3 linked regions of the Notamacropus eugenii genome follow. The protein of the gene in region 1 interacts with the protein of each later gene in a pairwise test. Links are inferred from orthologs where the notes say so. Each region holds a gene or a part of one and is shown on either strand. Other genes may lie near its edges.

Region 1 (7,479 bases):
GACCTTTTCTTGATTTATTGTTACCACATTTAGCATTTCAGCAAAATTTTGATTTACTGGAACCTTTAATTAACTAGAATTTTTTTTCCCTATGTCCCATTTGAGGAGATGGAGACATATAAGATAGTGTTCTTTAAAAAGTATCTTGCAGGATTTCTCCAAAGATCTGTGCATATTTATCCTTATAGCCTAGCCCTTCTGCACTTAATTTACAGTACTATACAACCAGTTCAGAATGATGGCTAGAGACATTGCAAAATCCTGAATCATTCAAGAGAGGATCAGTTCTTTTCAATATTAACACAGTCTGAAAAGATTTTTACTCTTTGTTTTACTGCCACATTTCTTTCTCATTCAGAGATTTAATCACGTAATTCTTCTGCTGGAAATCCTTGATTGGCTCCAGACTGCCTCCTAAATAAACATTAGACTCTTTAGCCTGAGTCCACAACCTAGTGGCACTTGGACTTCCCAGTTTTAGCTCATACTCTTTCCCTCCATATACTTCATTTCTGACAAATTAGACTTTACTTCCACTAAATGCTCGATGCTTTCCCATCCACCATGCCTTTGTTCACACTATTCCCTGCATCTTGAGTACCCAACCATTTTCTACCCTTTGAAGTCCTTCCCACACCTTAAAGCCTGAGTCAAATGGTACCTCCTACATGAAGCCTTCCATGATTCTCCCTATGATCTCACACGGAGCTGTCATGGTCCTCTTCGAAAACAAAGGACAAACACAACCTGAGTAGAATGAGCTGCCTGAATGGGGACCCAGTAAACTGAGTAACTCAGCTCCTCAGTTTGTCCTCTCCCTCTCCCTTTCGTTCTCCTCTCCAAAGGAAAGCAAATTTTGTTGCCCAGAAGCTGCCCAGTTAGCTTGGGGTTTACTGGCTAGATTTCTATCCAGCTTTCTTTCTTCCTTCCTTCCTTTCTTCCTTCCTTCCTTCCTTCCTTCCTTCCTTCCTTCCTTCCTTCCTTCCTTCCTTCCTTCCTTCCTTCTTTCCTTCCTTCCTTCCTTTCTTCTTTCTTCCTTCCTCCCTTCCTCCCTCCCTCCCTCTTTCTTTCTTCCTTCCTTCCTTCCTTCCTTCCTTCCTTCCTTCCTTCCTTCCTTCCTTCCTTCCTTCCTTCCTTCCTTTCTTTCTTTCTTCCTTCCTTCCTTCCTTCCTTCCTTCCTTCCTTCCTTCCTTCCTTCCTTTCTTTCTTTCTTTCTCTTTCTTTCTTTCTTTCTTTCTTTCTTTCTTTCTTTCTTTCTTTCTTTCTTTCTTTCTTTCTTTCTTGCTTTCTTTCTTGCTTTCTTGCTTTCCTTCCTTTCTTCCTTCCTTTCTTCCTTCCTTTCCTTCTTTACTTTTTTCTTTCCTTCTTTACTTTTTCTCTTTACTTCTTTCTCTCTCTTTCCTGCCTTCTTTCTTTTCTTCTCTCTCTCTCTTTCTTTCTCCCAGTTCACTCTGAAGCCCATAGATTGGACCACAAGAGATCCCTGCAGAAGCTCCACTTAACGGATGTTTTTTGGACCCTCTTGGCTTAGAGTGAATATCAATGGTAGTTGTTTCTGTTTGGAACAGTAACTCTCAGGTCTTGCCCTCCCAGCTTGATTTTTTTCCTAATGAAAGGGACCATGCCTTGACTACTTCTTAAAGAGGTCTGTTCATATAATGGGCATTACCTCACTGTGAGTACCTGAAAAGGTCTTAGGCTAAAAGGGTCAGGGTGTCCCGTTGCATCCTGGGTCATCTCCAGGCATCTGATGAATATCTGGTCACTGGATCCAGATGGCTCTGGAGGAGAAGTGAGGCTGGTGACCTGCACAGCCCTGCCTCACTCCAAACAAAGTCAAGTGCAAGTCATGTCATCATTTCTCTGATGTCGTGGTCCTCTTCCAAAACGAAGGACAAACACAACAGCAATAATAATCTCACATGGCATTTTGTACCACCCATAATTTTGTGTTATAATAAATTACATGCATCTTATCTTCCCTACTAAGCAATAGGAACTACATCCAATTTAGGAGAGCCTTTGCACACAGTAGGACATTAAAAATGTTTGTTGAATTTCAAATGAACAAAGGTCAAAATCAAAAGAAAAGTGAATTAAACAAAATACTGTAAGCATTCCGATTAAAATTTTACTGCACATAGGACTTTATATTTTAATTGAGAGACCATTCAATAATCAATCTTACGAATCAGTATTTTCCTAATTTTATGGAAACACAAAATTTTAAATGATTTTTTCCTAAGGTCACTAATGAAAAAACACACATAGTACCCTGCAGCTGGGCTTCATCACTTATGCATTTATTAGGAGGACCAAGGCTTAGCTTCTTCCTCTCATTCATTCTTACTCATAAAAATGTAAGAGCCTTCTCAGTTCTCTGCAGGTGGCAGCAAGAAACACAGTTTGGCCTTTTTAGCAGTTCTCATAGCATATCAGGACTGACTTAAGAGAGGCTAGCATCTGTAGGGCAAAGTAAACCTATTTGAGAAAGTGCTATATATTTTAACTTCTTGAGATTTCTTGAGATACTGGACTTTTCTTAAAAAGAAAAATAAAAGCTAACCCTACAGAAGGAAGATTGCTGTATACGAAAAAAAAAATCACTACCAACTAAAACTCCCATAAAGGAATAAGGGTATAACACTTTTGTGGTTTTTTACTAAAATAGCAATTACTAAAATAGTGTAATTCTGAATTAAATGAGATTTTTACCATTTAAAGGCATAATAAAGAAAAAATATGGACGCAAAAGTTTGTTTTGATGGCTTTTATTCTTTACTATCTTTCCAAACAGATTGTTTCCCTCTGATATCACTGCATGCTAGAGGGATAGAATCAAAGTTTGGGTGAAAATAGCAAAATACACAATCCGAGGCTGTGCACAGTGTGGAAAGAGGAGAAACATCATATCTTAGCGGGGAAACAGTTCAGATTCCATCATGAGCTGATTCTTTTAGGAGTACAGTCTAGAAAACCACTGATTCTCAACCTCATAGACCCAGTAATCAATAGATAGGGAGAGTTCACCCAGACTAAGATCAAGTTGTGGTTTGTCCTTCATTCTTGAAGAGCACCAAGTAGACCAATCCCAAAGACAAAGGGGTGGGTCACTCTTATTCCAACTCCTTTTCTGATTAAAAGGAGCTAATTTACAATTAGCAATAAATTTGAGAGGATTCTGAATCCTCAATAAAAAACAATTATTCTTGGTAATACCCTTATGGTACCCATGAGACCACCCTGAACCAATAATAAATGTAGCTGTTACTATGGTATACACACACGCGCGCACGCACACACACACACAAATATACGTATGTATGCATGCATACTGAGTATGTATGTATGCACTTAGTAGGCGACAGGTATGAACATAAAATATTGAATCTTCAAGATGTCACATATCAAAATCAATTAAAAATTCATAAAGCAATTATCAAACCCTTACACAGTACTAGGTGCTCAGATCACAAAGACAAAAACTAAATAGTTCACCCTCTCAAGGAGTTTATATTCTCCCAAAAACAATCCATTGCTTTAGAACATTACACTCTGAAGACCTGGACTTGCTTACACCTCCATATCTGCGCCAGATTGAAGGATATTCCTCTAAGTATAAACAGAATTTAACAAAAAACATGTTATCCTTATTACTTTTCTACAACCGCAAAGAGGTTCTAACGTATACAATTTCACTTTTGTTTCCTAAGATTTAAGTCCATGGACTAAAATACAGTATTTTCCTGCTCTGAAGGGACAGTTCCCAATTAAAATCAGGCATAACAACAAAGTGGGGTATTTCCTAACATCCAGTGAAATTTTTCTGTGCTCTATCTAGCTGGCCATTTAAAAATTATCAGTATTTTTTATACAAGAAAAGGAAGAAGCGAACCCAGAGAAAAGATAACTAATAGTAACGGAGCTTAGCAGGCAAATTTTCCAATTGGGGACATGATATAACGGAAAGAATACTGAGCAGGAGGGCTGAGTGAGGTTCTGTCATTACCGAGCTGGTTTGACCTCCTTCAGTTTAAGGCCAGAATTTCCTTAGGTAGAAAATGGCCTGAAAGTTCTCCCTGGGAGGAAGAAGGAGAAGGAGGAAGAGGAGGAGGAGGAGAAAGAACCGCATCTTCCGCCTGAAGGATTCCTCCTGGATCTCCTGGGGGACTGGGGGTGCAGAGAGGGGACAGTCCTTCCTAGGGTTCTAACAAACCTCCCAGGAGTGACAGGAGGGCTGTAGGGCTGTTGGACAGCGGCGGAAGGCTTCTCCCGAAGGGTTGGGAAGGGCTTGTACCCGCCGGCCTCTGACTGCCTTGCCCACTCCTTAGGGCTTCCCCGGCCCGCCGGCCGGGCAGGGTTCTCACCGAAGCCTTGGGGATGGGAGGTGGGGCCGGCTGCCCCATCCAGACCCAGACCGTCCGCGGCCCCACCCCTGCCCCGCCCCCTCCGGGTCCTCCCAGCTTCTCCCTGGCCCTGCCGACGTGGCGGAGCGGGGAAGGGCCAGGGGGCGCTCGGGGGACCAGCTCTGCCGGCTCGAGCGGTAAGGAGCCCAAAGCTCCCTTTTATTTCCTTTCTCTCTTTTCTTTCTCTCGGCCCCCGCGAGGAGGTCACTCGTCCCAACGCTCCAGGGCCTTTGCAGGAGCTTTGGTGCCTCGTCCCAGGCGCCCCGGGGCTGGGCACAGCAGGAGGGCCAGGGGGTGGGCTATCTGGTCAGTGTCAACAGAGGCTCTGGCGCCGAACCGGGCACGATCCTTTGCCATGTCTTACATGCCATTGGCATGGCATCAAGGGCAGGGAGATTGTCGCTGCGCTGCTCTCACCCCTCTGTGCCTAGCCGGGCAGCTAGGGTACCTGGGCAAGGACGGGGATGCTCCCAGTGTCGAGGCTCAGACTTTGGACAGAGGATAATTAAAGAAGGGAAGACTGGGGCAAAGGTGATGGCAGAGGCGCATTTCTTTCAGCTCCACACCCTCTCGGGAGCGGGAGTTTTGTGGGTGAATACCCAGGCAGAAGCACGCGCCCCGGATCTCCTTTGCCCACTAGTCTGCAGTGCCCATCCCAGCCTCTCTGGACCGCGCCATTCCAGACTCTCCATTGGAGCAGAGTTTGACAAAGTTCCCTGCTTCTAGCGCGCAGACGAGAAACAGGTGCTCGTAGAGTCAGAGAGACCTTCATTGCTGAAGCAGAGGAAAGGAGGAGAGGAGAAGAGGTGGGAGGAAAGGTTGAGTGGGCTGGGCTGCGGGCCAGGTTCGGGCTCGAGTGATCAGAGCTGGGGTCTTTTGTCTGCTTGCTGTCCCTCGCCTTGTAGTCTGCATCTCCCCATCAAATTTGCTCTGGGATCCGATGAGTATTTCCGGATGTCTTAGAGAAAGACTTTCTTTGGAACTAGTTATTTTCACTGGAAAGTCCCTCTCTGCCGGAAGTTTTGGTCAGGTAGGGCCTTCCTGCTGCCAACTCCCACTCTGTCCCTTCTCGAGGATACTGAAAACTGCTGAGGGTCTTCCGTGGAGAATATTCTTCTGGTCTGTCTCTTTCCCCCAACAGGGAATTCTCAACCAGTAATGCTGAGGGATGCAAACGGTGTGCGTATATGTCTGTGTGTATATACATAAGTATGGATGTATATGTATGTGAATATTATGCTACTCCTAGACAAAATTGTGGATTAGACAAACTTTGTTGTCAAAAATATACTGTCAGTATTTCCTTCCTACTTCGTAGATTTAGGACTGGAACAGACTTTAGAGATTATAAAGACCAACCATCTCATTTTGTACATACAAGGAAATTGAGGCTCAGAAATCATAAGTGACTTGACAAAGGTTCCAAAAGGTAGTAAGTGGCAGAATTGGGAATGTGAACCCAAGTCCATTGACTATAAATCTAGCACTTTCCATTGTATCCCGCTATTTTTCATCTGTTCTTGTCCTTCAGTGACCTTCCACTAAGTGCTCTCAACTCCCTTTCTTCTTTTAATACCTGCTCTTAGGAAAAGTTCTGATAAATTTGCTCATACTAAGGCAGGGGTTCTTAACCTGGGGCCTATAGACTTTTAAAAAGTTATGACTCTTTCAATATAATTAGTCTCCTTTGTTGTCTTATATATTTTATTATATAAATTTAAAAAAATAGCTCTGAGAAAGGTTCTGTCGGCTTCTCCAGATGCCAAAAAAGTACAATGACACAAAAAAATTAAGAAACCCTGTACTAAGGCATACATTTTAAGCCAAGGGAATGAATTTCTAATGGCACAATTTCAAGTATCAAGAAACAAATAGGAAAGTTATTATTTAAAAGGTGGAGCAGAGATTGGTGCTTTCCTGTTTGCCTTCTTATAAGGTCATCACTGTATCATTTGTTGCTTTACTGCAGTCACTGTCATCAAAAATACCTTGGTAAATTTTAACTGTGATTCTTTTGAAAGTGCCAGTATTTTTTAAATCATAATTAATGTAGCCTTAAAAAGTGTGTGTGTGTGTGTGTGTGTGTGTGTGTGTGAGTGTGTGTGCACATTACATTAGTCCTGGGAAGGGCTAAAGTAAAAATTGGTTGACAGGTTATTATCAGTTGCCTAGAACTGGTACTTTCTTGCCTGTGGGAAGTATATATGTAGCTGGCAGAGAGAGAGAAGGGATCAGGTAGCTTCTTCTCCTCTTACCCCTCTTCAGGTCCTAGTATATTGCTTACTTTAGCTTAAGTATACTGCTTACGTTTACTCTAGTGTGCTGCTTACTGTAGCAAATTTGGTTCTACAATTAGGAATTTCACTGATAAAATTGGGGGAGTACTAGCTAATACTAGTTGAGGGCCTTGGTACCAATCTGTATTAAAAAGACGTGAAAGAATTAGTCTTAACCCTTCCCCCTCTTCTTCCTCCACCGCCAATACCACCGCCACCACCCACCACCTCCCACTTTTTTTTAGTGTGGAATCTCTAGACTCTAGACCTTTTATTTCATCTGTATAGGGAACTCCCAGAGTAGAAATGGGGCAATTCTGTAAGTTACCGTCTTAGAAAATTTGGTAGGTCCCTGAGAATTTAAGTGGCCATAGTCACACAATAAGTGTGACTTCTGACACAATAAGTCACAAGACTTGAACTTAGGTGTTCTTGACACTAAAATGACCCGCTATCCACTATGCAATACTGTGTCTCTAACAATTTCTTTACCTAAAATCAATCAAAAACTGTTTATTAACTGCCTACTATGTTCCAGACTGTTCTAGGTACTAGAGATACAAAGTCAGAAATGAAACAATCTTGCCTCCAAAGAGTTGATGCTGAATTGAGGGAAACAATATTTGCATATACTTAAGTATATACGAAGTAAATAAAGGATAAGGACTGAACCTGTGATTTCATTGATACAGAGACCTCCTAGATAAGGCAACTTCCTCCTCCATCACAGGTAGGCACTTGGTCTATAATTATGGTGGTACAGAGTTTGCCTAGAGGGCTGATAGGTTAAGTAACTT
Region 2 (7,556 bases), on another chromosome or scaffold:
GAATGTCAGAGGTGATATCTGCACTAGTTTTTTATGCTACATACACACAAAGTAATGATAGGAAAAAAGGGAAGCACTGGAGCCAATCAGGAAAAGGTCTCATTCAGAAAAGGTGGCATTTAGTGGCAGTTTGAAAAAAAACAAGGAATCCTAAGAGGTTACAGTGGGGAGAGAGAGTTCATTCCAGGCAGAGGCACCCACAGCCCATGCAAAGAAAGGCAAAGAAGTGAGATTGCAGAATCTTGGTGAACTGTAGGGTGCTCAAAAGGGAATAATGCACAAACAAGGTTCAAAAGGTCCGTAGGGCCAGGGTTGTGAAGGGCTTTAAAAGTCAAATATAGTTTAAGGTGACCACTGAGGTTTACTGATTCAAAGAGTGACACAATGAGACCTGTGCCTTATGAAAATCACATGACTTTAGTAGCTAAATGACCAAGAAAAAGGAAAACATTTTGGTGGGAATAAACAGGATGCTTGGGGGCTGCTTTGGATAAATTCCACCCACAACATCTAATGACAGATCCTTTTCTCCAAAGGCAACCACGTGGCCATCTCTCTTTACTGCCTTACTTTCATTACTTGGTTATCTAAAATATGTTATTTTCAAAGACTTCTCATATTCCCAGTTCCTATCCCTTTCCACTAGGACAGACTATCTTTGACTAACAGTCTAAGCTCCACCCCCTCTCATGCTCAGGTGTACCATAGCAAATTTAGAAATTTGTATGTATTACCAAATAAAAAGTCCAGGAAACTGAATTATCTAGCATACTATCTTGAAAACAATTTATTTCCCATATCCCTTAAGAACATGCGGATTCTACCAGTGTTTTAGTGTCTCTTGTCATTCAATTAAGGGATTTTTGTGAATGTACTATTAAGTACTGCCACATCTTTGGGGCAACTGCAAGAATATATCCAAAGTTGTGCAAGAGTCACCAATGAAATCAGACTCTTGTATATTAATAGTTGAAGTTGTGACACCAAGTTAACTAACACCTGAATGAGGCTGTTTTATTATTAGATTCAAAGCAGTATACCAAAACAAAAAGTATTAAGTGAACTGATTTCAGATACAATAAATCTAACATCCTGGGGTACAATTTTAAGAACATTTAAGTTTCTAGCTGCTTCAAAAGGAAGCCTGGTCTCCCATAAATTACCTCCTGGATTAACCCAAGAGAACCTAAGTTCCTTAAGGGTAGAAACTTTTTCTTTGGTAATACGACAACACCACCTTACAGAGAGTACGGACTTAGCAGTCAACAAACATATATTAAGCACCTATGTGTTAGGTATGAGGGATAAAAGGAAAGCAAAAACAAAAGACCTAGTTTCTGCTCTCCAGGAGCTCAGTCTAATCTACATACAAACAAAATCTTATGCAGAAAGAATTCATGCAAGACTATTAAGATGATCAGAAAAGACTTCCTGTAGGTGAGATTTTAAATGGAACTTGAAGCCAAGGGACAAAGACTAGAAGGGAGAGAATTCAAGCCAAGAGACAGCCAGTGAAAATACCTAGGGTCAGGAGATGAAGTGTTTTGTTCAAGGAGGCCAGTGTCACTAGACAGCAGAGTATGGGGGTGGGGGAGTAGAGAGTAAGGTGTAAGAAAACTAGAGAGGTAGGTGATCAGGCAGGTTAGGACGGGCTTTGAACAAGAGAGAGACGATTTTCTATTTGATCCTACCGGTGATAGGGAGCCAATGGAATTTTATGGAGTCGGTGAGTTAGGATTTAGCTTAGAAAGCTAAAACATGGTATATTTCCCAAATCCTAGTATTTCAATGTTACACATTAATAGGATTGATATGTAAAAACTTAAAAAAAAAACCCTACAACTGGCTTAATTACCTAAGATATGGTGTATTTCCTAAATCCTAGTATCCCTGTAACACATTAATAGGATTGATATACAAAAAGTAAAAACAAAACAGTTGTAGAACTGGCAATAGCAACTGTTTGCAGTAACTTGTCAGCAATCAGGAAAGATCTTCAGGATCCAGTTTGACACTCTGGTGACCTCACAAGGTTTTTTCCCAGGGTTCTAAGGCCAAAACCATTGTTGCCTTAAGCGAGATGTAAAAGGTTATCGCACTCCCTGTTCGGGGAGGCAAGCCCAAAGCCTTCCCGGCCTAGGAACTGCAGTAGCAGCCGGGACATCATCATTAAAGTCACGAAAGATGATTTCCAAGTAAAAAATACGCAAGCAGCCAACAGCCTCCCGGCCCGGCCCGGCCCCTCTACCTGCCCGCAGGCCGGGGGAGGGGCTGCGGGAGGGTGGGTGGGAGCTCCAGGCCTGGCCCAACCCTCCGCGGCAGCGGTCTCGGGGGGTCACACGTGGCCGTCCCGGAGCCCGAGGCCTGGAGCGGCTGGGCCCGGGCTGGGCGGGGGCCCGGCAGGCCAGGCCGCAGAGGCCGCTCGCAGTGCCCACGTCACCGGCTCCAGCACTGCGGAAATGGAGCCGCGGCGGGAGGAGGGGAAAGGGTGGAGGAGAGGCCGGAGGCGGGGGAGGGAAGCACCCGCCGCCAATCGCGCTCGGCCCCGCGGCACGGGGGGCTCCGGGGGCCGCAGCCCACCCGTCGCCGGGCGACTCACCTGTGTCGCCGATGATGATGTATTTGAAGAGATAGGCGTACGCCATGGCCGCGGCCGCTCCGTGCCCCCGGCACACGGCTCCTCCTCCGCCTCCTCCCCCGAGCCGCGGCTCCTCACCCCGGCCCTGATCAAGATCTCAGACGCCGGCGTGCCCGCCCAGAAGAGGAGCTCGGCGGCAGCGACGGCGCGGAGTCGGCAAGCCGAGGGAACCGAGAAAACGCCAACACGACGCCGGCAGAGGCGAGATGAGCCTCGCTGCCCAGCCCAGCCCCCTCCGACCTCGACCCGGAAGAGCAGCCGCTGAGCCGGCAGTCGGAGGAACGGAGGCGGATCGCCGGAGGATCGCCCTCCCCCGCCCGTTCCCCCGCCCGTTCCCCCGCCCCCTGCTACGGAGGGCGGGGCCCTGAGCGGAGCTGAAGGGAGGGAGTGGGTGCGGCCAAGCCCAGATTGGAAAGAACAGCGGGCGGAGGGGGAGGGGGCGGGGACTGGAGGAGGGGCGCGTCTCGCGCACGCGCACACCAGACGTGCCGGGCGGTTCGTGCTCCGAGGTGGGTGGGCGTTCCCTGCGCTCGTGGGGGGGAAAACCCAAAACCTACGTCTGAGACCTTTTCTGGTGATAGTTGGAGGAAACAAATGGTCATTTGGAAAACAGTTGAAAAATGTGAAAAAGAAATCCTTACCATCTCCAGAGCACCAGTTCCCTGACACTACCTGCCAGCTAGGCATCTTCATCCGGAGGTCCCTGAAGGCGCCTGTCAGGCTCTACGCTTGTCAATGGACAAGCGGTGTGATATTGCTACATGTTACCATGTGCCAGATCGGATGCCAAAGCTGGAATGTCCAAAAACTAGGCGTGGAGAAGAACCAGCCTTTGCCCTCAGGGGGCTTACATCCTAATGGGAGCCAGACAACAAATAAAAGGCAGCAGAAAGGGGAGGGAGAGATCAAGGGGAGGAAGGTCCAGGTAGCCAAGTTTGGGGAGAGGGCAGGGGGTAGCCAGAGGAGAAGGGAATACAGAGTTGTTCTTACCCAATCACAGGGAAGGGCCACAGAGGTAGAGGATATTTTCAGTGTGGGGATTCTGGGGTTGCCATGATCTTCCAGGAAAAGAGATTTCTGGAAAAGAATAGATTCTGGAATACTGACTGGTAAGAAATTAAGATATGGAAGATGCTTTGCAAACCTTAAAGCGCCATAGGAATGTTAGCTATTATTCTCTGAAAAGGAATCCTTTATCTTGTCAATCTTGTTCCTTTCTTTCAGTTTGTATTATTTCTCCTGGGGTCCACGCTGTTACCCAGGTTACTAACCTCAGAAGTATCCTTAATTGTGCCCATTCCCTTACCCTCCTCCACATTTCATCAGTTGCCAGGTCTTATTTATTCCACCTCTCCCATATTATACCCTACTTTCCACTGGTACAACTCCCACCCAACCGCCATTGTCAGATCCTCATTACTTCACAAATTGATTTCTAGGAGAGCACCCCAAAGACTAACCTGGCTTCTATATATAAAGTCAGGCTACCCACTTAAAGCCTATCACAATCTAGGTCCTATCTGCCTTTTCACTTCCTCTCATATAGTCTTCATTCCTAATACCTGTTCTTTAACCAGATCTGGGCATTCCATCTGTAGTCTGCCCTCTTATAGATTGCCCTTCATGCTTAGAATGAATTCACTTCCTAACTCTTATGTTCCCTTACTTCATTTGAGACTAAATATAGGTACCACCTTATATTGGAGCAAAATTTTACTCATCCCTTGTATATTCAAGTAATCTCTCCTTCCTGTGTACTTATATCTGTACATATTGTAATCTTAACTGAATAGAAATTCTGTAAGGGCAGTAACTGTTGATTTCTCTTTTTAATCCTCAATACCCTGCATATATGTCAAACTGAAATGGAGAGTCTTATAGATTTAAAATTGCCTTAGGAACATTAAAATGTGTTTTGTGTAACCTTGCTCACAAAATTAACATGTTTTGAGATATTAAAATTTAGTTCAGTCAGCAGAGACCAGTGGAATAGGTTAGGTACTCAAGACACAGTAGTCAATGAATACAGCAGTCTATTTTTTGATAAACCCAAGTACCCCAGCTTCTGGGATAAGAACTCATTGTTCAACAAAAATTGCTGGGAATACTGAGATAGGGCATAGACCAATGCCTGATGCTGTACACAAAAATAAAGTCCAAATGAGTACATGATCTAGGTATAAAGACTGACAGTATAAATAAATTAGTGGAGCAAGGAATAGTATATTTATCAAACTTATGGAGAAGGGAACAATTTTTGACTAAACAAGAGATAGAAAACATTATGAAGTGCAAAATGGATAATTTTGATTACATTAAATTGAAAAGTTCTTGCACAAACAAACCCAGTGCAGATAAGGAGGGAAGCAGAAAACTGGAAAAGAATTTTTGCAACTAGTATCTGTGATAAAGGCCTCATTTCTAAAATATATAGAGAACTGAGTCAAATGTACAAGAATATGTCATTCTCCAATTGATAAATGGTTGAAGAATATGAACAGGCAGTTTTCAGAAGAAGAAATTAAAGCTATCTATAGTCATATGAAAAAATGCTCTAAATCACTATTGATTAGAGAGATGCAAATCAAAACAACTCTGAGGTACCATATTACACCTATCAGGTTGGCTAACATGACAAAACAGGAAGATGATAAATGTTGGAGAAGATGTGGGAGAGTTGGAACACTAATTCGTTGTTGGTGGAGCTTTGAGCCCATCCAGCCATTCTGGAGAGCAATTTGGAACTATGCCCAAAGGGCTACAAAAATGTGCATACCCTTTGACTTAGCAATACCACTTCTAGGACTCTATCCCCAAGAGATCATGAAAATGGGAAAGGGTCCCACATGTACAAAAATATTTATAGCAGCTCTCTTTGTGGTAGCCAAAAATTGGAAATCAAGAAGATGCCCATCAATTGGGGAATGGCTGAATAAATTGTGGTATATGAATGTAATGGAATACTATTGTGCTATAAGAAATGATGAACAGGAAGACTTCAGAAAGGCCTGAAAGGACCTATATGAACTGATGTTGAGTGAAAGGAGCAGAACCAGGAGAACTTTGTACACAGCAACAACCACAGTGTGCAAGGAATTTTTCTAGTAGACTTAGTACCTCATTGCAATAAAAAGACTTAAAAAATTCCCAATGGACCCTTGAGGCAAAATACTTTCCAGATCCCAAGAAAGAACTATGGAATTGGATGGCAAAATGAAGCAATTTTCTTTTGTATTATGTTTTGTTTTGTTTAATGATTTCTCCCATTCATTTTAATTCTTCTATGCAACATGATTAAGATGAAAATGTATTTAATGGGAATATAAATATGAAATTGTATGTCAGATCAGGGAGGGAGTGGGAAAGGAGAGGGGAAGGAGGGGAAAAAATCTAAGATATATGGAAATGATTATAGAACATTGAAAACAAATAAAATAATTTAAATAAAAAATAGAAAAAAGTTTAGTTCATTCAAACAGTAATTACACATTAAGACAAGAACATAACTACTATGCCCTCTCAGACAGATATCTTTGTGATGGTAAATTAGGTCATCTTTTCTCTCAATTTTTATCTAGTCTTTAGTCATTGAAAATGCTTTGCCTCAGACAAACTGGGACCTGGGAAAGACCTTAATTTAGAAAGGCCAAGGTTACCCACCACATCTAGGGCCATGGTCAGTCATCTTGACTTTCATCTTGCTACTGAACTTCGTAACAGCAGGGACCCTAGCATACACAGGAAGGCCTGCTGCACAGGTTCTTAGGTCTGGTTTTCTAAAAGGAACGCAACTTTTGAGGGGTCAGCAATCAATTTTAATCAAACACATATATCATTCACTTAGGTAAGGGGGAAAAGTCAACACCCTGAAATTTAGAGAAAATACAAATAGAAATTACAAACAGAAAGACCAACAGGCAGGGCTTCCAACTGTCTGACCATAGACAATACATACATAGATATCAGACGGGGAAGCACCAATATCTGGGTTTTCAAAGCCAGGGGTCTCCTTAGTAGCTACCCAGAATCTCATCTGACACTCAAACCTTCTTCCAAAAAAATAACCCCAAAAGCAAAACCTCACCTCAGAGTTATATATATATATATATAACCTTTGCAGGACTGGAGGGCATGACCCTTGTGACCCAGTTCCTCAAAGGTATCTGAGGCCTATCAATGGGTGAGGAAGATCTTTAACTCTTCCCATCCACCCACCATTAACCTTACATTAACCTTATAGACTTCCATGACTCTGAGGGGAGAATTTTACTTAAAAGTAATTCACAGGAAAGTCAAGACATTACTTTGTTGATATCAATGATCATCTTCAAGAATGAAGAAAGAACAACTATTCCAGAGAGCAAATAAACAAGAGGGACCTTATTAAATTACCTTTTAATTCAATATAGTTTTACTCTTGAAAAGTTGCATCATACTGCTTATCTACAGTATTCATAAATAGCAATGTTTTTATTGCATAGTCTTTAGAAAATATTTTTGGAAACTAAAAGCATGAGTAACAGTAAATATCTCATAGCAAATATTTTGTGCATCCTTTAAAATTCATTATTTAAAATTTTTCAGGTTTTTTTTCCTCTCCAGCACTTTATTTCCTCTATCACTCTCTTACGTAGGTTCCCAAAGTGGGTGATACTGCCCCATGGGGGATGTTGGAATGATCCAGGGGGCCAAAGAAGCCTTGGGTGCAATTGGGGAGCATTGAACAAAAATAAGGGGGCAGTGGAAGCATAAGGAAAGAAGAAAAGATAAAATTTTATAATTTCTTGGTTTCTCATACAGTCATTAATTTCCATTTGCTCCATTCTAATTTTTAAAGAACTATTTTTTTCAGTGACCTTTTGAACCTTTTCTATTTGGCTAATTCTGCTTTTTAAAGCATTCTTCTCCTCATTGGCTT
Region 3 (7,161 bases), on another chromosome or scaffold:
TCAAAATACCCCACCCCACCTCTTCCCCTTTCCACATAAGCTTAGCTATTGGAAGGGGATGAGCTCTTCTGTTCTCTCTCACCGTGTCCCAGATTTGCAGTTTGATTTGTTTGCCATCAATGTTGACCATACGGGCCCCAAACTCCACACCTGTCGATGAAGAACACAGAATATAACGATGCCATCAATGACTGTCATGTTCAATGACGAGTCAAGGTTCTGGCCCCCATGTTTCAGGTTCCACTTCCTGTGTCTGCTCCAAGCGTAGCCATCCTCCTGGCAGTTGTCTAAACACTTGCTCCATTGCATCTCAGGGTCTATCATTCTTTTTCCTCACCTGGATTTATGTAACTATGCTTCTGCTAATAATCACCTCAAGGTAAAAGTAGCAAGTCAATGTGGAAATTGGCTAGTTTCTTAAACTTGGTTGCATTTTGCACCATTTAACTAATTTGGATGGTTTTTGTGGGGGGGAGGGGTATTGTGATTTTATCAGAGAACTACTGATATAGAAACTCTCCCACTTATGCAGACTGACAATTTGCCTGTACCATAGCCAGGTAAATTTTAAGAGGGTTTCCTGGGGAACCTGCTCATGGTCACATAGTTAGCTAGCATGTATCAGAATTAGGACTTGAAACCCACCCTTCTAAGCTCCAAGGCTAGCTCTTTATCCACTATGCCACGCTGCTTCTCAAATGTTGACCATTGTAAAAATAAGTTGTAATAAACTTTATAGCTTCTTTTTAAAATATAAGTTGCAAGGTTTAAAATCTTCAATACTAACTTTCCCTGATGTACTCATTCTCTAGTCTTCTTTATGGAACCATAATTATTTATTATAAAGAGGGAAATATGCATTTATTAATTGCATATTATACTCCAGGAACTTTACAAATATTATCTCATTTGATCCTCACAATGATCCTACTATTATTATCCTCATTTTACAGTTGAGGAAACTGAGGCAGAGGTTAAGTGATTTGCTCAGGGTCACACAACTAGTAAGTGTCTGAGGCTTGACTTGAACTCAAGTCTTCCTGACCTCAGGACCAGCATTCTACCAATGTCACCACCTATTACAACCCTAGGATCTATTTGAAAGACATAATATAGTGCATCTTCCCAAGTAATATAGTTTCTTAAGAACTAAAATGCCTAGGATGAGTAAGTTTCTGCATTAGGAACTTACATTCCCTTATTAGACTGTTAATGCCAGGTCTGAGCCAGAAAACAAAAGGTACTGCTATTAAACATATTTGATAACAAAATATGTATTGTCTCCTCCTTTCACTCTAAACTTTGTCATTTCATATAGCATGGAGGCAAAAATTTTAAGGAAAAAGTAGTTTTATCTTAGCTAGCAGTAAAATACTGACTTAGCCAATAGTACTTTTGATGGTGTTCATAATTAAGTTAAGAAGTCTCAAGGAGGGCTAGTTGTAGTCAATGAGGCCACAAGAATTGATTCTGGTTGAAAGCAAACTAATCTCCAAATTCCTTCATCCAGAATATAGTAACTTTTCTTGAAAAAAATTTTCTTTATTTCTCGGATAGTCACAGAACAATTTCAGTAGGCATAAGGATAAGAAAATGTCTATCCTCACTTGCACTTTTCCATAAACATGATCTTAAAGACACTTGGGCTCCTGTGCACAACTACTTGTCCAACTTCTTTGTGTGATGGCAAAAGGCCAGAAGGAACATAAATTCCATGCCAGAATTTGGACAAAATGCTAATTTCCCTGGTGCTACAAAATCCCTGTCTTTTTTTATGAACCCCATATGTCTGGTGACTTCTTGATCAAGCAGGTTTTCTAAGAGAAAATGCTTCTCAGAACTGCTAGTTACATTCCTAGAAACTTTTGCTTCTTTCCTCTTATGCACAGGCTTTTCTCCATATGATGGAAGCTAAAAATTTTACCTCTCTTTTATTACTGTAATGAAGCTGTTACCGTACCATAATTTTTCTTATCACTAGCCATATATACTTAATCTCTTTGTTCCTTCTCTGCCACTACCAGTAACAATTTTTCTCTTAAACCCCTGCAAAAAGGCATTGCATCTGAAAATGACAAATATTGCCACTCGGGAATTCACTAAGCTCTTTCACAACTCACAAACCAACCAATCAATTTTTCTCTTGTCGTTACAACATATTAAAGCTGGAAGGATACTCCTTTTATTTTACAGATGAGGATACTGAAGCTTACGGAGAAGCAAGCTGCCCGAGGTCACCCAGACTGCAGCTACTCTTTGGTTTCTTTGTCAGTTATTTTTATTGTCTCCAACTTGACAATCACTTGACAGCACTCTTTCACAGACTCACAGAATTCAAAGCTGGAAGGGCTCTTAGTTACTGCTCTGATTTTATGGAGGGAGACCCTGAGCTCTAGAGACATGAAATGACTTTCCTAAGCTAGTCAAATCTATTTACCCCCAATTCATGCTCTTTCCATGAGACGAATCTGCCTTCGCCATTTTCTCTCCATTTATTAACACAACTTTTGGCTACTTAAAAGTGGAAGCCCATGGCTGCTAACTTTTAACTTCACACTTCTCACCCACTTTCCTTAGGGTGGCACAAAGTCCTTACCTATGGTGAGGTCGTGGACAGGCTGGAACCGCTTGTCTGTAAACTGCAGAAGGAGACATGACTTGCCCACACCTGAAAGAGGACGTGGGGACTCAGGTCCATCCTCCCGAGAGAGGAGGTGGGCAGGGCAGCCCAGAGGAAGGCACCAGGTGTGGCTGGCGTCGGCTCCCCCCGTGTCGCAAAGGGGCCAGAGCTCCTTCAGCCCCGCCCCGCCCCGCCCCCATCCTGGCCCCGCCCCCGACAGCGCCCCTCCGGGTGGCCCCGCCTCCCCAACGAGCCCCGCCCTCCCCTGGTGCCACCTTGGGCTTGCGAGCCCAGTCTCAGTTTAGCGGATGGCCCCGCTGGCCGAGTACCTGTGTCCCCGATGATGATGTACTTGAAGAGATAAGCGTAAGTCATGGTCCCGACCGCTGGTCCTCCCGACTTCTCTGGCCACCCACCTCCGGCCTCTCTAGCCACGCGACCTAGCGATATCTCTACTTCCCCATCCGGTCCCTCTAGCCCGAGATCACGTCTCTAGTGCTCTCCTCAGGAGCAGTTCAGTCGTCATGTGTGGCTGTAACTTGACACTTCCTCCCTCGAAGCCTCTGAGCCTCCAGCGGGCATTCTGGCCTCCGGCCGAAGGGGGCGCTGCCCAGCTCCTCATTTCCGCTCAGTCGCCTCCCTGCTGCAAACTCACCGCTTCTGCCAAAGAATCCTCCAATCCTCGGAGGGAGCCGCGAGTGTCGGCGGAAGTGACGCGTGTTCCGTTTCCGGCGGGGGCGGTGGGCGCTATGAGGGAGCTGAAGCGGTGGTAGCGGTTGTGTTGAAGATGGAGGTAGGATCCTGAGCCCGAAGGAGGCGGGAGGGAGAGAGAGAGAGAGAGAGAGAGAGAAAGAAAGAAAGAAAAGAGGCGAGAGGGAGAGGAGCAGAGGAAGGGGCCTGGGCGGAGAAGCGGCCGACGGGCGAGAGGAGCGGGGGAGGCGGCGGCGGGGGTCGGGGCAGAGTCAGAACCCGTCGCTCCAGCCTGACTCCCCGGCCCCCCCCACCCCTAACATCCCCGCGGGTTTCTTTTGGTTTCCAGTTTCCCGGAGGAAATGACAATTACCTGACGATCACAGGGTCCTCGCACCCCTTCCTGTCGGGGGCCGAGGTGAGCAAGATTGTTGCCAACGCGGGTGGAAGGGCGCCAGGCCCTTGGGGGCGGCGGGGGGGACCCGGGGCTGGGGAAGCGCTCTCGGACAGCCCAGCGCAGCCTAGAAGGGCGGGCCGAGGAGGAGGAAAGGCCGCAGGAGGGTCTCGAGTGGAAGGAAGAAGTGAGAGAGGCCCGAGAGGTTTTGCGGGAGGCAGTTGGAGCCACCGGACGACGCAGCCTCAGGGTGGAGGTTTTGTGGAAGAGCTGAGGTGGAAAGTGTAGTCGGAGCGGCTGGACCTGGCTTGGTTTTGTGGGGGGAGGGTGTTGTGACTGTAAGAAGCAGCGTGGTTTAGTCTCCACGTCCATACAAGCCTGAAGGGCCTGTTCAGAGCCGGTCCGTTTGTGCTGGGGCGCACTGCCTTTCCCTCCAGGTGATGAGAGTGTATTTTGTGAAGCAGAAGGGATGGCTGTGAAGAGTCTTAAGGTTCTTAACTTGAATCGTGGATCACGTGCTCCTGCCACTATCTTGGGAAGCAGACTTGGGTATCTCAGAAGACAGAAAGCCTTTCTTGGGTTTTTTTATTTTTTACTATTTTTAATGGAAGACCCAGTCTTTTTTTTAATGCAGCAAACATCCCAGGCCATCCTACCTGTTCTGCTGAGTTTGCTATCAATGAATGAGTTATTCTGCTTATCTGCAGTTGCTTCTTTTAACTCTTAGCCTTAGCGTTAGGTTGGGAAACTGGGCAGCTGCTTGTTAGATTTCAGCTCTTCTATTGACTTCTGTTTCTACTGAGATTCCCTATAAATCTTCAGCCTTAGCTACCCAGCCTAAATGGAAGACCTTTTAAGATCATGATGCTAAATGACCGATTCTTCTGGCTTCAGGGAAGCCAAAAACCAGACCTTTAACACGTTTAGATTGGTTCTTTGTGAATTCCAATGTGTTTTCTCATCTTCAGCTTCTCCTTGACTCATGCTTTTAGCGTCATTAAATTGTTTGGAATGTTGTGAACTCCAGAGTATTATCCTCATCCGTATTTAGATACTGCAATACTTCGAAATCCCATAATTTTATTTATGGGAATGTGCCAACCATGTGGCCCATAAGCTCTCTATTGCTTAGTACATGGCTTACTGAATTACTGTGGCTAAAAAAATTAATCATCTATTGGCCAATCATCTGGTGAGTATGAGACTATTTTATATTAGCTGGATTGGTCCTTAGACAAGTCAAACTCTTTGCATTTTTAGTGAGACCATTTGGAACTTGTTCCTTTTAAAGCCAAGATCACCCCCATTCTACAGTGAGACTTCAAAGTAGGATACTAGATGGAGGAGCCCTAATTTGTCCAGAGTTTTGAGTTCATCTGTGTAGAAGCTCCTGATTTGGACCTTCCTTCCATTGATACAGATAGGCAACCCATCCTTGGACATTAAAAGGTTAAGTGACTTGTCCATGATTATGTGGCTAGTATTTATTAAATGGGGTTACAAAAGTGGCATTCTAACCCCAGATATAAATGACTTAGATTATTCGCTATTTTAGATTCTGTTCCTTCTATTTTCTTGGATAATCAAGAATCACATCTGTCTGTCAATAATCAATAAACAAGTACCGCTACTACTAATGATGATGAACATTACTAGGATGCTTTAAAGTTTGCAAAGCACTTTAAGTATATTGTGATTTAATCTTCACAATGATCCTGTGAGGTAGATGGCTATTATCTCCATGTTATAGATTAAGAAACTTTGGTAGAGAGAGGTTGAGTGACTTGTTAAGCGACTGAGTCAGGATTTGAACTTAGATCTTCTTTGACTCCAAGTCAGAGTCTGTTCATTTGATATAATTAAGTCTAACCATTATACTACCATGTATCAGTCACTATACTAAGTACTAGAGATATATACTAAAAGAAAATTGTCCCTGCCCTCAAGGAACTTCATTCTAACAAATATATGTGGTTCCCTTCTTATTTATAATCAAGTGCTTGGAAAGCTGGAAAGTGCTATAGAAATAAATGTTAGCTATTATTATAATGTTATATAAAGAATGTTGTAGATTTAGGGCCATTCTACAGTTTTTTGACCCCTCTAGAGGCAGCTAGGTGGTACAGTGGCTGTCAGAAAGACCTTAATTCAAATCTGGCTTCAGCTAGCTTTGTAACTAGCTTTGTAACTCTAGGCAAGTCACTTACCGTCTGCCTCAGTTTCCTCAACTGTAAAATGGGGATGATATCACCACTTTACCTTTTAGGGTTGTTAGGAGGATCAAATGAGATAATGTCGGCTCTATTAGAAAGGTGCTTATTCCTTTCCCTTCTCCTGCTTGGGGGAAAAAAGACAATATACTCCTTTGGGAGAAAAGCAGTCATTTTTGGTGATGTTAGAACCTTGTCTGCAATATGTATTACCCACCCCAGAAAGCCTTACCATTTGTCATTGCACAGATTGATCATCACTATAAGCTTGTAGCTAGAAAAGCTGTTAGATGTGTAGCATATGGACCACACATTTTGTGGGGGGTTTGGTTATTTTTTTTTTAATATTGAAAGTACACTGTCTCCCATTTTAGAAGCAATCAATATTCTAGAACATAGTTTCACTGAATGATTATCAGGAGTAGTTAATAGTTTTTATCTATACAAATAAGATGCCACTGTAAGGAAGGACTCTGTTGTGTTTTAAATTGTTTCTGTGTCCTGATGGATTTACCATAATAATAGTGCTTTTTTTTAATCATGTTAGTGCACATTTCCAGTGAAAGAAAATAATTTTGATGTCCTGTATTCATTATAATTCGATTTTACTTTTTACTCTGCTGATCTTTAATAGTAATAATGGAAGATTAGAGTGAATCTCTCCATTTGTTATGGTATGTAGTTGACTTTTTTATGTTCTTTTATTTTTACGACTAATTTCCCTTCATATCGGTAAAATCTGATTACATCAAATGCACGTGTGGTCGGTCTTTATGGTGCTTCTTTGTGGTCTAAGGACTACTCACTTGTCCTGATGTTTATGATAAAGCAAAAAACCCCAAGTACTAAACTTTCATTTAGTTATGTTTCTCTTAAAAATTAAATTATATTTGTCATGGTTTTTTTTTTTTTCTATTACTTGTTGTCTATTTCTTGGTGACCTTTTGGGTCAGATTCTTTTCTTCCCTAGCTAAAGTTCTCAGAAGACTGAAAAAATTTGAAAACTGTTTCTACATTGTAATATATGTATTATTCTGGCCTCCATTAATGTATTCGCCTCTCTTTATGAGCATGTAGCTATATATTGAAGGAAGCTAAGTTCTTCAGAGTAATTTGGGGCCACTAAGAAGAAGCATTTTCCTTTGTTGCAAGGTGTTGAGGTTTGGGGATAGGAACTGGAAATTGCAGTAATTTTTTTTCTAAAGGCAGAAGACAGAACTTAACTAAAGAAGCAGTTACACTTCACT

What was found.
Region 2: the proteins of FAM114A1 (region 1) and RAB2A interact in binary tests that used the Homo sapiens proteins (3 or more experiments, as listed by UniProt). The two-hybrid records come from large-scale screens. The link is inferred for Notamacropus eugenii from reciprocal best matches to the Homo sapiens genes FAM114A1 and RAB2A.
Region 3: the proteins of FAM114A1 (region 1) and RAB2B interact in binary tests that used the Homo sapiens proteins (3 or more experiments, as listed by UniProt). The two-hybrid records come from large-scale screens. The link is inferred for Notamacropus eugenii from reciprocal best matches to the Homo sapiens genes FAM114A1 and RAB2B.

Annotation. Positions count from the first base shown.
Region 1 is NC_092877.1:92,839,920-92,847,398, forward strand, and holds the start of FAM114A1 (protein NOXP20), read left to right. Parts: upstream 1-4,439; 5' UTR 4,440-4,543; intron 4,544-7,220; exon of another isoform or gene 7,221-7,412; intron 7,413-7,479. UniProt on the Homo sapiens protein: May play a role in neuronal cell development.
Region 2 is NC_092875.1:279,689,294-279,696,849, reverse strand, and holds the start of RAB2A (ras-related protein Rab-2A), read right to left. Parts: upstream 3,058-7,556; 5' UTR 2,646-3,057; coding exon 2,600-2,645; intron 1-2,599.
Region 3 is NC_092878.1:12,451,961-12,459,121, reverse strand, and holds the start of RAB2B (ras-related protein Rab-2B), read right to left. Parts: upstream 3,065-7,161; 5' UTR 2,996-3,064; coding exon 2,950-2,995; intron 2,669-2,949; coding exon 2,597-2,668; intron 151-2,596; coding exon 83-150; intron 1-82. Other genes in the region: TOX4 (TOX high mobility group box family member 4), read left to right, coding at 3,408-3,413, 3,660-3,728. UniProt on the Homo sapiens protein: The small GTPases Rab are key regulators of intracellular membrane trafficking, from the formation of transport vesicles to their fusion with membranes. Rabs cycle between active GTP-bound and inactive GDP-bound states.